Alligator mississippiensis: one gene and its partner. The protein of the gene in region 1 interacts with the protein of each later gene in a biochemical or structural test. Links are inferred from orthologs where the notes say so. Each region holds a gene or a part of one and is shown on either strand. Other genes may lie near its edges.

What was found.
Region 2: the proteins of NRIP1 (region 1) and AHR form a complex in vitro, tested with the Homo sapiens proteins (2 studies listed by BioGRID). The link is inferred for Alligator mississippiensis from reciprocal best matches to the Homo sapiens genes NRIP1 and AHR.

What each region holds. Positions count from the first base shown.
Region 1 is NC_081824.1:278,940,126-278,947,693, forward strand, and holds the start of NRIP1 (nuclear receptor-interacting protein 1), read right to left. Parts: upstream 3,004-7,568; 5' UTR 2,626-3,003; intron 1-2,625. UniProt on the Homo sapiens protein: Modulates transcriptional activation by steroid receptors such as NR3C1, NR3C2 and ESR1. Also modulates transcriptional repression by nuclear hormone receptors.
Region 2 is NC_081828.1:163,341,845-163,349,540, forward strand, and holds the start of AHR (aryl hydrocarbon receptor), read right to left. Parts: upstream 3,016-7,696; 5' UTR 2,809-3,015; coding exon 2,753-2,808; intron 1-2,752. UniProt on the Homo sapiens protein: Ligand-activated transcription factor that enables cells to adapt to changing conditions by sensing compounds from the environment, diet, microbiome and cellular metabolism, and which plays important roles in development, immunity and cancer.

The DNA.
Region 1 (7,568 bases):
TATATTACCTACTTACAAATAAGGAAGAAGAATTCCCCCTGGAAGGGCAGTGTGATAAGCCATAACCAAGCAGGCCTGTGTCTTTTTTAACAAAGCTCAGATGAAGCAAAAACTACAAGCAAGTAAGATCAGCACTGCAGTTCACTCAGGTTTGAACTCTGTGACAACCTTTAGTGAACCATTGCTTTTTTATCATTTTTTTCCTCTTGGTGTCTTGTACAGAATGACAGATTCAAGAGAAAAAACAGCTGACAAATACCGCAGGTGGTATATTTAACATTCAAATCAGCCACTGAAGTTTACCATATGAAAACATTTCTGCTTCTTCAAACAGTATGGTTTTTATTATCATAATAACCCCAAACCTCTTATTCTTCAACTTCTGCCTTTATTTTTTTTTTTTTTTTTTTTAAGGAGCACCTGGCAACTAGAAAAAGAAACTTCATTTTCATCTGAAAATCTATTTACCTACTACAGGTACAAGTCATCCTTAGCATTAGGAGTACAATTATCCAGTTTGGTTACACTGGACATTTGACAGCCCTTGATATTCAACACATTCGTGATCTAAAGAGACCAAGTGAGGTGATCTCACCTCCAACAGATAACAATCCAGGAGAACTGGCCAGTCCAAAAGAAGGACAGGTGCCCATTCACCTTCTAATGCACAATCACTAATCCCTTGTACAACCTTTGCACATACATATGTAATACTAAATGCATCATCCACTGGTTCTACTGCTTCAAAGTCAGTATTTGTTCCCGCTCATAAGGGAATGGGGACAGGTTAAAAGAGTAAGATTCCTCCACCAGAAGTTTAAGAGCAAAGAAATTGCGCCAGCAGCAGAAAACCCATATCTGTACTAAATTTTAGGTGCGCTATATGAGAGCTCACCATGACAGGTCAATTCCTGTTCCCCTTGCAGAAACCCTTCCTCAGATGCCATAAAACCATATGATGATTCTCACATGCCACAGAAGCAGGCCATTCTCACATCAGAAAACTTTTGTTTGTCCTCTGGGGGAAGGTGTGCGTGTGCACATGGCACTCCAGTGCCAAGTCCCATAAACAGCAATTCAGAATTGAACAATGAAGACACAGGCTTGGTACCACCCACTAGGAAGCGAGCGCAGATGGCCTCATTTCAGAAGGGAGGCTATTTTTTCCTCACAAGAAATTTAGTAGATTAGATTGCTCTTTTTATAAACAAACTCCATCCCTTATCTGAAAACGTCCCCTGTCATGACTCGGTTCAATTCCAAGTGGCCTGGGAGGTCCCAACCCAACGCCCAGCAGACATATGCTCTCAAAACATTACTACAATCTACCAATTCAGGCACAACTCCTGAAGGGGTGGGGGCAGAAAAAAGATACTGTTCAATCAACTCACTCTTCCACCCACCAACAGCATGGGCCAACCGTACCCCCCCCCCCCCCTTGCACCGAGTCACTCCTAAAGCCACCAACTCCATAGCTCTGAGAGACTGTCAACATGTGTCCAGCCCTCCCAGCCTTTCATGGTTACTTTAAACTAAAAAGAAAGACTCAAAAGTAACCCCCGCCAACAAAAAAAGCAAAGTGTCTGTCCTCACAAAAGCCTTTTTTTTAAAAAAATCCTACCAACTTGCCCTCAACCCCAAAAGTACATGGCTGTAGCTTGTGCTGTTCAAACTCCTACCAGGAGCAAAGAAAAATAAGCCCTCAAAGGTTGGGGGGGGGGGGGGAGGGGGAGATGAGTCACCCTTGAAGGGTTTTGGGGACAGCAGCAATGGTCTCAAGTTCCAGCAAGGGAAGTTTAGGTTAGATAGGAGGAAAAACTCTCTCACTAGGAGGGCAGTAAAGCATGGGAACAGGTTACCCAGAAAGACTGTGGCATCTCCATCCTCAGAGGCTTTTAAGTCCCAGCTAGACAAAGCCTTGGCTGGGCTGATCAGCTTGGGGATGGTCCTGCTTGGAGCAGGGGGTTGCACTAGATGCCCCCCTCACCCCACCCTGCTCCGCTGTGATTCTCTGGTACCAAAATGCCTCTCAAACAACTCACCAAGACACCCTCATGGACCCAGAGGGACTGATTTTCCATCTCCAGCTCCCTCTGTGCCAAAATGAAGTTTATTTCCTACCTACAGGGACTCTGAACCATCTTTAATTTACCCTGAGCCTGCAGAAGGGCACCCAAGCCCAAAAGCTTACAAAAAGATATACATATTTTGGCAATCTCCTAGTTAGCCTAATAAGAGGTATGGTCTCCGAACTGGGAGTTGTAGATTTCTGCATGTCTTGAAGTCCCAACCTTCTGCTTCAGAGGGAAGGAAGCCGCCCCCCTCCCCGGGGGGGCTGCACATTGGGGAACTTAAAGTGATGAGAAGGCACGTTTGGGAAGAGAAAGGAGAAGGGGAAGGGGGGAGGAGGGAACGCGTCTCCCAGCCCCACAGCAGGGGAGAGGGGATGAAGCGGGGAGCCCAGCTCAGCAGCGGGGGGAGCCGGAGGGGCTGCAGGCAGGCGGGCGGGCGGGCGGGATCTCTGTGCCTCCGGGAAGGACCCTGCCCCAGCCGGGAGGGCAAACTTGGCAGCCCTCTCGCCCCGCCCGCCCTCCCTCCCCGCGTGGCCCCGGCGTAGGCACTCACCGCCCGGGCTCGGCTGCTGCAGCGGCGGCTCCTGCGGCCGCGGGAGGCCCCGGCCCGGCCCCGCGCAGACAGACAGACGGACTGACTGACGATCGCCCGCTCCGCCCCGCCCCGCCCCGCGCCGCCCGCGCACCTCCCCCGCGATTAGTTCTAGTGCAGCGAGCGGCGCCCCAAGCCTCCGCAGGCCGGGCCGGAGCAGGAACAGGAGCTGCGGGCGAGGGGAGGGAGGAAGGGCTAGGTCCGCGCTCCAAGGGGCGCAGCCTGCCCCCGGCCTCGCGAGCCTGGGCGCGTCCCCCGCGCCGCCGCCTCCGCGCCCCGGCTGCCGAGCTGTGCTGCAATGCCCACGAGCAGCCCGCCTGCCTGCTCCTGCTGCTGCTGCCTCCGCCGCTGCACCCGCAGCCCTGGCCCCGCCTCCGGCCCCGCCCCTCGCCTCCTGCCCCGCCCCGCCCCGCCCCGCCCCCAGCGCCGCCCGGGACCACGGGGGCGGATAGGTGCCCCGGGCAGCGCCGGGGAGGCAGGCGGGGGCAGGCGCCTTTGGCTCTCTCGACTACGAGTGGGCGGCAGGGCCGGCCCCCCCCCGGCAGAGGGTGCCTTCAAAATCGTGACATGAGAGAGATGATTTCATAGGGCAGATAGATAGCTAGGAGGAAGGAAAGACGGACAGGCAACGGAAAGAAAAGAGAGAGAGAAAGAAACAGGAAAAGAGAGAGAGAAGGAAAGAAAGAGAAAAAGAGGAAGACAAAAAAAGAAAGAAGAAAAGAGACAGAAAGAAAAGTAGGTAGAAGGAAGAAAAAGAAACGAAGCAAAGTAAAGTAGATAAGTAATTAGACAGGGAGAGTTGTATATATCAGGTTCTTTATCTTTGTCCTTTGATTTTTTTATTTTTTGGTGGGGGGGAGGGGTTGCTTGTTTGTTGTTTTCATTTTAAGGCTCATATTGGTATGAAGCACAAAAGCCAGAAACTTATTTTTAAAGCGAGAAAGCCAAACGCCTCATAAACCCATACAATAGGAGCTGGTGGGGTGAAGAAAAGCAAAAATATTGCAGGGCTCGCTACATTTTCATAAGTCAGTGAAGGAGGCAGGGAAGCAGTCATCCTTTCCCCAATTCCTGCTGATTTCCACCATGGTACAAAACTTGTGTTAATATCCTTGGATTTGCAGCTTCCAGTTCTAACTTCACCAAGCTTAGTCTGAGCAAAGCCTTCAGTTTAATTCTTATGGATAATGCAAAGACTTAACATTTATTCCTGTCTACTCAAGTTCCCAAACTTACATGCTGCTTTATGCTTCCTCACCAATGTGCACACACTTCTTCACTGTGGCTTCCCCCATTTGCGCACAGAGAAGTGCCTTCCCAATTAGACCTAGTGTCTTACCAAAGCTATGTTATTTACACCTATATCAATTAATATTAAATAATGATTATGAGAGGGAAATATCATTGTAACAGAGGGAGGCCCCAAACAGGATCACAGCCCTACTTTACTAATAGCTATCTCCACCTATATGAAGAAAACCTAATAATTGTCCTGAGGAACTGCGATCTAATACCCGATTTCTCTTAAAACAAGAACTTTAATGCCGTTCTATCAAAAAAAAAAAAAAGTTGGAAGGCTGTAGATATGCTGCCGCATTTTTTTGCATATACACAAAATTGTGCGAGCTTGGTCACATCTCATTCATAGATGCAATGCCTGCATTAAAACATCCCACAAACATAACAAATGAGTTGATAAATACAGAGCTTTATGTATGCAGCAACTGAATTCTAAGCAACAGTTAGTAATGCTTACTTTATCCTTTCTTAAATATTAACTGAGAAATGTGTGTATATATATTCGCAACTGCATACAAACAAGTGGCCATCAAGAAAGCATTAAAAAATTCTAGAAATAAAGCATACTAAAACATTTAAAAGTTCAAAACAGCTGTGAGTATGTTATAGTACAGTCTTAAATGAAAAGACACAGGCAATAATGTAATTACACAAATAATACATGAATTTCAGTTAAAAACTGCTGAAAGCCAAGCTTTGCAATCAACAGACCTTATGAATGAAAGTTGATGTTCCAATATCAAGCAAAATCTCTTCTACTCTGGAATAGAGAGACTGCACTGGCTACCAGCAGAGAGCTAGCAAGCAATGACTTGACCTATTTTCTAAGCCAATGAAAGATTTAGGTGAACTTCATCATCATCATGTGTTTTTTTTTAACCACATTTTTTTCAGATGTACATCAGCATTTGCACATCCAAATGCGTGTATAAACCAGTCTCTTATTTTATAGCAAAAACTGATTTTATGGCCTCACCATGTTTCCATTCAAATGCATAAGAGTTTTGCTGCTGAATTCAATGGGAGTAGGGGTATGTAACTGGCAATATGTGATTTGAAAGAAATTCTCTTTAATTTTTAATTTCACTGAACTTCTTTATCTGAAAAATGCTTCAATGCGAAGCAGCTGAATTATCCAGGGAAAGGGAATTTTCTCATTACTGCAGCAATTTAGCAGCTATTTCAATCAAGTATGTCTGTAGTATACACCTCTTTCATTCTTAACCTGAGGGAATATCTTGCCCAGACAAGAGACCTACAAAATAAGGAATCTTGGACAAGTCATGGAATGATTGTGCATATGAACAATTATTTCATATGTTTAAAAGCAAGACATGAATAGCTTGGAAACATAGCTTGGAAAATGTATTTTTGGTACAATCAGCAGAAATAGTTACAAATAATGACACTTATGGACTGATCCATTTATTTTCCATATTCAATATATATTTATATAGGGCTGTGTTCTGTTTGCTTACGTAGACTTTCCATCAGACAGTTGAAATGGCACTATTTACCAAGTTAGATACAAATTCACACAAGTAGGGTGGAAGAATTAGTATTTACTGTAAGAATCTAGCCCACACTTCAACTTTTTTTTTTTAAATCAGTCCACCTGATTGTATCATACTGTTGGCAGTTATTTTTTGGTTTTTCATGTAGAAGGTTTTCAACCAAAGTTAAATGTGTGATCAATGCCCCGGCACAGATAAAGGACATTTCTATCCATCACATATGGATAATGTAAAATCATTGTTTTCTTACCAGCAACCAGGGTAGTTTTTCAATATTTGCTTCAGGGACTTTTCATTGTGTTAATTCACTTCTGAGTTCAAAACTGCTTTTGACAGCTTCAAATCAGACTACTTTTGGATTGCTCTTTAAAAAAATATAAATTCATAGAAGTTACTTTTGAATTGATTCCCAGAATTGTAAGCACTTACTGGAAAGTTATTGTACTGAGCTTAATATTTCTGAAGTATAAACTCATATTTGATCAAATTGGAGTCATTTTAACATACACATTACAAAAGTAAAAAACAAAACATGCCTTCTTATTACTAATGCAGACAAAAATCAAAATGCATCATCTTTTTAAGTGTCTGAAGCACATATTTGATCTTTCTATTTGACTATATTTGAAATGAGTTGAAGATACTGTTGATTTTTGCATAACTATCTGTTTAATCACCTTGATGATTAATGAAATTTCATACATGGTAAACAAATCTACAATACAGTTCAAGATACAAAAAGAAAGTCCATATCTGAAATCAAATGCAAAAAGGGATAGTATTTTTTTTCTACATGAGCTATGCAAAGGGCCCCCCTGACTACTTTGAGGGTCTCACTTTTATTTTTTTTTGTAGGGTCTCTATTATGAAACTATGAACAGCTTTCAAACTACCTTTTCAATCAGAATAAGTAGGGCCATATGGAAACCTGTCAGAATACAGTATACTTGGGACATGTTTGGAAAGATCAGTGATTTCACAGAAATATGTATATATACACTAAATCTTATTCCAATTTTTTTTTTGTCAGGATTACATGAACAAATCCAAAATTACATCCTTGACTCAGCACAATTGTACCCACTGTGTGGAAGGTCCCTTTACAGAGAAGCAAATAACCTAGTATTGTAGCCCTTACTCGAACAAAAATCACAGTGACATTTCTTATTTATTGAGGCATTGATTTAACTGAAGTTTTGCCTACATAGATGATAGTCACGCGTGGCTCCTCTACAACTCTAATAAAGAAAGTTTGAAGTGTCTGGCTTCTAATTAGTAAGAAGAAATATTTAGACTTAACTGAAATAAATAGGGACCATTCTGCTATAACTGGAAGAATAAGTCTGATACAAAATGAAAATGTCACTGTCTACATGTTAGAAAACATGAGAAAATTATTTGTGTATTTATAGGGTTTTCATGTCTAAGTTATATTTTCACTTCTTTTTACAAGCATGAACAAGGTGATTCCACAAGTACCCTCAGCACCACAAGTTCTTTCCTATGTATTCTGTCTCTCATTTCACATTCTTGTATGTTTTTTAAATTGCAATTCTTTTCAGCTTGATGACCTGCTCTAAAAATATTTTTCACTATAAATTTTTTAGAGCAATCTCCTTTATTAAAAAGTAGACTTCAGATACGACTATTTGATCTAAGAGTAATAAGCAGCTGTTTCAGTTACAAAAACTTGTGAAGCCAGTTGTACCTTATACACTCTAATGGAGACATTATATGTTTGCAGCATCTGGCTGGTTTTAACCATACCTCCAGTATACTGTACCTGTTCTCAGGCATACATTAGGGCTTACTGTATTTGCGTCTGTGTGTGTGCATGCACATGCATGTACATGAGTATATATCGATCATGAATAAGAACTGTCATTATGGCCTTATGTTTTATGGCAGGAACTAAGAAATAACAGCACACTGAACTTCTGCAATATCCTTCATGCAAGAAGCAAACAGCTTTATAAACATATATCTGATGCTTCTTCATTAACTAACATTAAAATACAGTAACATATTTTTCAGTACCTTTAGCTATAAGGACATAACCACTATCTGAAAACTACTCAAATGTAAAAATTC
Region 2 (7,696 bases), on another chromosome or scaffold:
TTTCTCAAGAGGTCTGAATTCGGAATTAAGTTGATGCTAGGCTAATTGCATCCCACTGGTGGGACACCTTGGTTTTAGGAAGGCATAGACAGCACACAAATCTTTTTACAAACATGTAAAAGCTTTACTACCCAACAATAGACTGTAACCAAAAACCAACTCTCTTAAATCAGCTCTGACAACTGTTTGCTTCTCTGACTGACTCAACTTTTTTGCCCGAAGATATGTACTATGATTAGTTTTTAATTGAAGAAATCAAACCCTTTGGGGCCTGTAGAGCAGCTTTAGGAAACATCTAAGAGGACAAATGCAAAAAAAAAAAATAAAAAAATAATCAAGGACCATTCAGCGTAAGTAAGAGGAGGATAATAAATGATACACTGAACAAAAAATAATTATGTTGCACAAGTTGTCTGTCAATCAAACAGGGCACTACGTAATATAATAACATTTTTTTCCTCCTCCATAAGGTAGGTAAAACACCAACTATATAGGATACATTCAAACCAAAAACATTTACTTTAAGAAGAAATGTTTATTTTCCCTTTAGCCCTAAAATGTTGTTGATTGGTTTCCATTCATGAAAAAAGGAAATATTCTTCAGGTTCAACAAATAAGAGAAGTTCAGCCAATTGAAATAAGAAATATAAAATAGTAACAGTGAGTTGTTATACAACAATCAATAGCTCAAAATAAAAATAGTTTGCACATCTGGTAATCAAAGTGAATTTATTAGTAAGCAAATCATGAAGTTCTCTGACCAGAAAAAGCAAATATTGCCACAATTTTGAATAAGTTTTAGCCAAAGAAATTATAGACTTGGAAAGTTGTTATTAGCTGGACAGGTGGTAGAGTGTATACACTTGCATGCAGAGCAACAGAGTTACTATTTTCTTTATAAAATGTAAATTTATACTGCTGAATTGCTTTAACACCTCAACCTCTCTATTTTAGCTCAACAGTAGATAGGCCTATTTACAGTATCACAGAATCGTAAAACATTAGGGTTGCAAGGGACCTCAGGAGGTCACTTAGTCCAGTGGTTCTCAACCTTTTTTGTAAGGGACCCATTTGTAAACATTGATGGCAAGTCCGAATCCAGTGCCCCTCACTCCCGACCCACTGCGCGCCCGCAGGCCCTCAGTTTGGGACAAGGGGGTCCCAAGCAACCCCATGCAGGATGGAACTCTGCCAGCCTGCAGGGGAAAAGCCACGGTTTCCTAGTTTTCTCCTTTAAAGGAGAATTCATTTTTAAAGTTTGTTGATCCATTGTAAAGTTTATTTGCAACCATTTCGTATATTCTTGCAACCCATTTTTGGGTCACAACTCACATGTGGAGAAAAGTTTATCTAGTCCGACTCCAGCTCAAAGCATGACCACCCCCAATTTATTTCTATAATTGCCACACTTTCTGCCTGGCTGCTGCTGTTTGCCCAAGTCAAGAATTTTTCAGAGCTTTTAATTCTTTATTTAAAGTCTATAACACAGCACCTTCATTTAAAGAGAAATCTCCTTTTGAAAAGCAAACAACAACCCCCTCCCCCCCCAAACCGTAATAGCAACAGCCATCCTAGCCCAAAGCAGCAATCCAAAATAAGAGCTGTAAGCTGTGCTGAATAAAAGAATACTGCTTACTCAGCTAGTCTCCCAAATACTCCTTTTCCTCCTTTGCTTACGTTTTGGAAGGGATTTCAGTGTAGCAGATGTACTCCAGCAATGCTATCTGCACAAATGCACGCGATTAACAAGAATAAGAACCTTGCTTTGGCTTTGAATCATGGGGGGGGGGGGGGGGGGTCCTCTTTTTCTTCCTTACAGTCTTGTATTCTACTTCTTTACGAAAGCCAGTCATCTAGATGCCTGACACCTAAATGTCAAAACCTATCTTCTTCCTCTAGACCGGCATTTCTCAACCTGTGGGTTGTGACCCAAAAGTGGGCTGCAAAAGTATATGAAAGGGCTGCAAACAAACGTCAAAAATGCGTTCTCCTTTATAGGAGAAAAACATGGGAAACTGTGGGGCTGCTCTTGCAGGCTGGCAGACTTCCAGCTTGTGAGCGGCTGCTTGGGCCCACCCTGCCCCAGTGGCTGGGGCACGGGTGCAGCGGGTCGGGACTGCCAATCGGCGTTTACAAACGGGTCCTGGTGCAAAAGAAGGTGGGGAACCCTTAGCATAGACGGTCACAGAAATGCGAGTAACCCTGATGCCAGGCCAGTCAAGCCTAAGGCCCATTCCCAGCGGAGCAAGGATCGCCACGCGGCGGGGGCTCTGGCACAGTCGGGATCAGGCCCAGGAGCTGCCAAGCGACACGTGTCTCGTGGTCAGACGTGGCAGCGCCTGGCGAAGCGCAGCTGCCCCGCCGCACGCACCGGGGTGGGGGGGCACATGGAAGCGGGTCACTCTGGAAACCCGCCGGGGTGCAGGGGAGCCCATCCGCCCTCGGGCCCGAGCCCCGGGCACTGCCGCCTCCCCGGCGTGGCCCGGGCTCGCGCCGAGTGCGGCGGGGCGGGGCGGGGCGGAGCGGAGCGATCCCGGCCCGAGGCGGCCGCCCGCCCGTCACCTTAGATGCCTCCTGAGACTAGGTCACCGCCGGCCGCCGCCTCGCCCGGGTCAGCAGCGCGGGCTCGCTCGCCCGCCCGCCCGCCGGGGGCCGCCGCTGGGCGGCCGGAGCGACGAGCGCCCCCCGCCCGGGGGCTGCTCGGACTCACCTGCTCCGAGACGAGACCCGCCCCCACCCCGCCCGGGCTTACATCTTCTGCACGGGCTTCCGCCGCTTCCGACTGGCGTAGGTGACATTGGGGTTCATGTTGCTGCTGCTGCCGCCGCCCGGCCCGGCCGCCGCCTCGCACAGCGCCCGACCCGCTCTGAGCCGCGGCGGCCCCAGGAGGGCGCGCAGGTGACCCGCGGCTGCTCCCCCGGGCGCAGGTGCGGGGGCGGCCGGGGCTTCCCGGCGCCTCCTGCCCGCGCGGAGGGAGGGAGCGATCTCCCCGCCGCCGCCTGGCACTGCCCCGCCGCACTCCCCTCCGCCGGCAGCCCCCGCTGCAACCGCCGCCTCGTCTCGTCTCGCCCCGCCCCGCCCCGCCGGCGGCTGCCCCGCCCCCGCTGAGGAGGCCCCCGCGGGGCGGCGGCGGCGCCATGTTGGGGAGGACGCTGCGGGCCGCGGGCAAGGTGTGAGAGCCGGGGGTAGGACGAGCCGGCCCCCGCCCTGGGGCCGCCCCGGCCGGGGGCACGTGCTGGCGCTCACACCCAACCCTCGCTTCTCCTCGCCCCGGGGCTCCCCCGCCCTGCCTCCGCTCCCGGGCCGCTCAGGTGCCTCTCGTTTCGGCCCCGACCGGCCTCCCCGCGGCCCAGAGGGCTGCTGTGGGTGAAGGCGAAGGAAGCCGGAGGCAGTGTCCTTGGTCCTGGCACACGGCTCGGAGCAGACCACAGGAGCAGGCGAAGGAAAGGTGTTTCACCAGCCAGCAGCACGGCTTTGCATATTCACTCTAGGTCTCTTCAAAACAATACCGGGATGAGTAGTTAGGTGGAGTACGGCATTACCATAGAAGCAGTCGCTGAGAAATAACAGTACAGAGATTAGGCAAATCAGACAGCCCGGATGGAGCAGAGTGAAGGGGATGGCACAACTGAGAGAAACTAGCACAGTTGTTCTCCAGCAACGTGATGGCTTCCTCAGAGCTGGTGCTCTGAACACCCCAGTACAACCTTTGATGAGTATGCTGGGTCCTGGACTGAAAACGTAAAAGAAGGTACCAAGGAACTTGTAATCAAAGCAGGCCACACCTTGTCTAATTATAAGCCTTATTTGGCTGGCTCAACTGTTTCTCTCTCAAGCTTTCCCCGTGCTGTGTACCGCAAAGCTACTACACACTAACAGTGAAAATGGCAGTAAACTCCAAAGTAGATGGAGTACATTTGTTATGTTTCAAAAATAAATGAAGTAGTAAATAAAGCTTTCCAGAATGTATTGAAAAGCATCTAGTACTATGCCACTCTTAATTTTGACATTTTCCTGGACAAGAAAACCTATAGGTTCTCTGAATTTGAACCAAGTCTGTGATTGATGCTGCCTATAGTCTTCCACTCTTGACTCATAACCTCTCCTTTTCATCCTGTTGCCTCCACATGAGATCTTGTCAAGGTTTTTTAAGAAGATGACTATGGAGATGTACTGTGATCTCTTTACTTCTCTTCTTCAACCTCTAGCGTCCTTTGCTCTTTCACCCATGACTAAAACTACTGCTGTCCTCTGAACGCTCCATCTACCACATAAACTTAATTACCTTCAACCTCAACTTGTTTCATGCTCTTCACCACTCCCACCAGCCCTACATCACACTATGCTCTGGTTTCCTTTCTAAAAACAAGCATCCCAAGAGGGGAACTAGGGCTAAGACAAGTTTTCAGTCATCCACTTCTACACTGGCTTAGGAAATCCAGTGCAAAGAGTGTTCTCCAAGAGGCTGCCAAAAAGGGTACAAGAGCCTTATTGAAACATAGAGCTAGAATCAGGAGACCTAAACTCAGTGAAAGGAATGAGCAGAAATGACCTCCTGCTTCATCTCTTTCAAAGACTAAAAGTACAACAGGTGTATGACAGCGTAGATTTCTGTTGGTGAAGGAACAAACAAATATGTACCTTATTCTTGCTCTATGGCCATATCCATTATAATAGTACTATTTGTAGTTATCAGATATAACATAATTTTTTGAGTCCTTTCTTTGAGCGATACACCCAAATTGCACCTGACTTCCAGACCCCTCACATGTCAGTCGTACTCTGTTGTTGAGATGGACAGGGTTCAAGTACTAATAATATATGGACAGTAAACACCTTTAACTCTTTCACAGTGCATGTCTGTTCTCTTTCATAAAGGTGGCCCAGTGCTTCTTCAAAATTAGTTCATGTTGAGGACTTTCTGGGCATTTATAGACATGGTCCAGGAGTGTGCATGGGGTGGGGTGGAAGGTTTTAATTAGAGCAGCTCTGAGTTGGTCTGATTAAAATGCCTGGAGCATCATGTGTATCAGCGTCCCTGCACTTAAAAAGTGGCAGCAGGGGCTCTTTAACTAAAGCTCATTGAGCAAACTTTAGTTAAGGTGCCCCTGCTGCTATTTTTCAGTGTGGGGACACTGATGCATGTGACACTGGGGTCTGCTGGAGTGCAGTAATTACAGGATTAATTACTGTGTGTTGAACCAGCCCCACTGCACATCTAAGTGCCCTCTATTTCAAACAACCAAAACATGGGTCAATTGGCAGTGACAGTCTTCAATATGAGGATGACAGCCTTCCAGTAAATAGCAAAGTCATCAATGAGTCTGTGACTGAGGAGGCCAATCCAAGATCTGCATGTTTGACTGCAGACATGGCAAATAGTTCCAGGCAAAGCAGTAGATACTAGAGATGTCAGGTCACAGCTTCTTTTCTCTCTCTTGTCTATCTGCCGCCATAGTGATGTTAATTTGCTCAAAATGATTAATGCCTTGTTGCACATCATGGTGCTATTGGAGATGATTCAGTGCTTGAATCTCCCACATATAGATGTTAATATACTTCCTTAGATTGGCTTTCAAGGTGTCATTGAAGCTTTTCTTTTGCCCACCTCTGGACTGGTGACCATTGGTGCGTTGGGAGTATAGGAACTGTTTTGGGAGCTGGTTGTCAGGCATCCTGATAACATGTCCTGTCCAAAGGACCTATAAACATGGCTTCAATGCTGGTGGTATTTCTTGAGCCAGAATGCTGGTGTTTGTTCTTCTGTCCTTCCAGTTAATAGTGGGTATTTTCCCAAGGCAGAGATTCCCAACCATTGGGCTGCGAAGGGTTGGTTGCTGGGTTGTAGCACAAGCCCCTTGCTCAGACCCCAATCTTTCTGCCCGAGTGAGCAGCTTCCAAGGTGAACAGAGTTAAAGCTGGGGGCTGGGGCAGCCCCGGGAAGGAGGCAGCCGGCTCCATGTGCCCTGTCCTGCTCCTGTGCCAGTCTACAGGAAAAAAAGGTTGGGAACCACTGTCCTAAGGCATTGCTGATGCCAATATTCCAAAGCTTTCAGGTGGTTCTGATATGTCATCCAAGGTTCACACCCATACAACATGGTAAGGATGACAACACCTTGGTAGATGAGAAGTTTAGTTTGGGTCCTGAATACATGGTTCTGGAGACATCCAAAAGGTAGCACTGGCAGATTTTATCTGGTGCTGAATACTGTCATCTATATTTACTTTTTTGGAAAAGGTGGTGTAGTTTACCATGGCATTTACTTGAGCATTTTGACTTTTCGGGGCAATTGAGTGCTGCTGTCCCCTTGTGGGTCAGCAGCTTGCTTTCCAATGGGAGTCCTTAAGGTCCCCATGGGTTCTCGCCTGCCACAACTTGATTGTAAAGATTATTGCTGGGAGGAAGTTCTGAAGTCCTGCCTCTCCTGGTTCCCTCTTAGGTCTCTCGCACAGGTCTTTGTCTTGGGCCTCCACCTCCCCTACACCCTTCCTTACGCCAACCACAGATGATGTTAGGTCTTGGCCGAGGCTAACTCACTGTCAGCCATGGCTAGGCATTAGCCCCTGTTTAATTTCAGTCCCAGTTCAGATGGCTTACTGTCCTTGTCAAGGTGTCACGTCAGCCTGACTTGTCGCTGCATATACCCCGGGGTGCCTTCCCTGAGGGCTCACTCCCTCCCCAGGCATTCCTTACAGCTTTTAATATCCTTCTTTTCCTCTCTCCGGAGGCTTGCTGCTGTCCCAGTCTCTATCAGCATTGTCTGGGAACTATGGCTTCATGAGAGGTATGTATCCTGGCTCCTCTGAGCCAGCCTTAGCTGGGCACCCCAACTCTTGGGTTTGCCATCACTGGCCCCTACCGGGGCATCCATTCACTTCTTGCTGCTCCTGGCTCTCAGGAGGCCTCACTTCTGGTCCTCCCTGGACATTGGCTGGTATGGATTTTATCCCTCTCTCGGAAGGCCAGTGAATCATTGGCAGCAAGAGTCCATAAAGCATGCCCACGCTGGAATGTGTGTTTAGGTGCTTTTGGTCCTCAGTGGCATTCTGCTGCTGCTGCTTTTCCTGTTGCCCCTGTGCCACCTATGCTTTTCCTCTTGTGGAAATGTTCACACCGCAGCACCTTTGGTCTTCAGCGGCATTTGGCGGCCATTGCTTTTCCCTCTGCTCTGGCGCTGGAGGTGAGTCTCATCTCGTGGCAGCATCCCTGCTGCAGGTAGGTACGCCACATAGGGGAAATGCTCAAGATTCTCCCAAAACTACCCCCTAATTGTAATATGTGGAGGAGCACCTGGGTTGGCTTGGGGTGGGTTAGTAAAGGACCTTGATTTTTGTGAAGTTGACAGTGTGTGACTAGCATTTCATGTGCTTCACAGAAATAATCAAGGGTGACCCAGAGCTCTTCAGTTGAAGCAGTCAGCAGCATATTGAACAGAGTCTAGAAACAGACTGTCAGGAAGCCAGGAGATCAGACAGATAACAAGAGAGGTGTTGGTTATCTTGGATTTGGAATGTAACTAGTTGATGTTAAGGAGATTCCCTTGGATTCTCAGACCATTTGGAAGTCTATCAACAACAATATGTAGAAAAGCAGCGATAGAGATGGAAGAGCGTTGGTGTAATCATCACACATCCTTACTTGACTCCAGTTCTAATGATGAAGGGGTCTATTTCTAAGCTGTTGCTTAGTATAGTT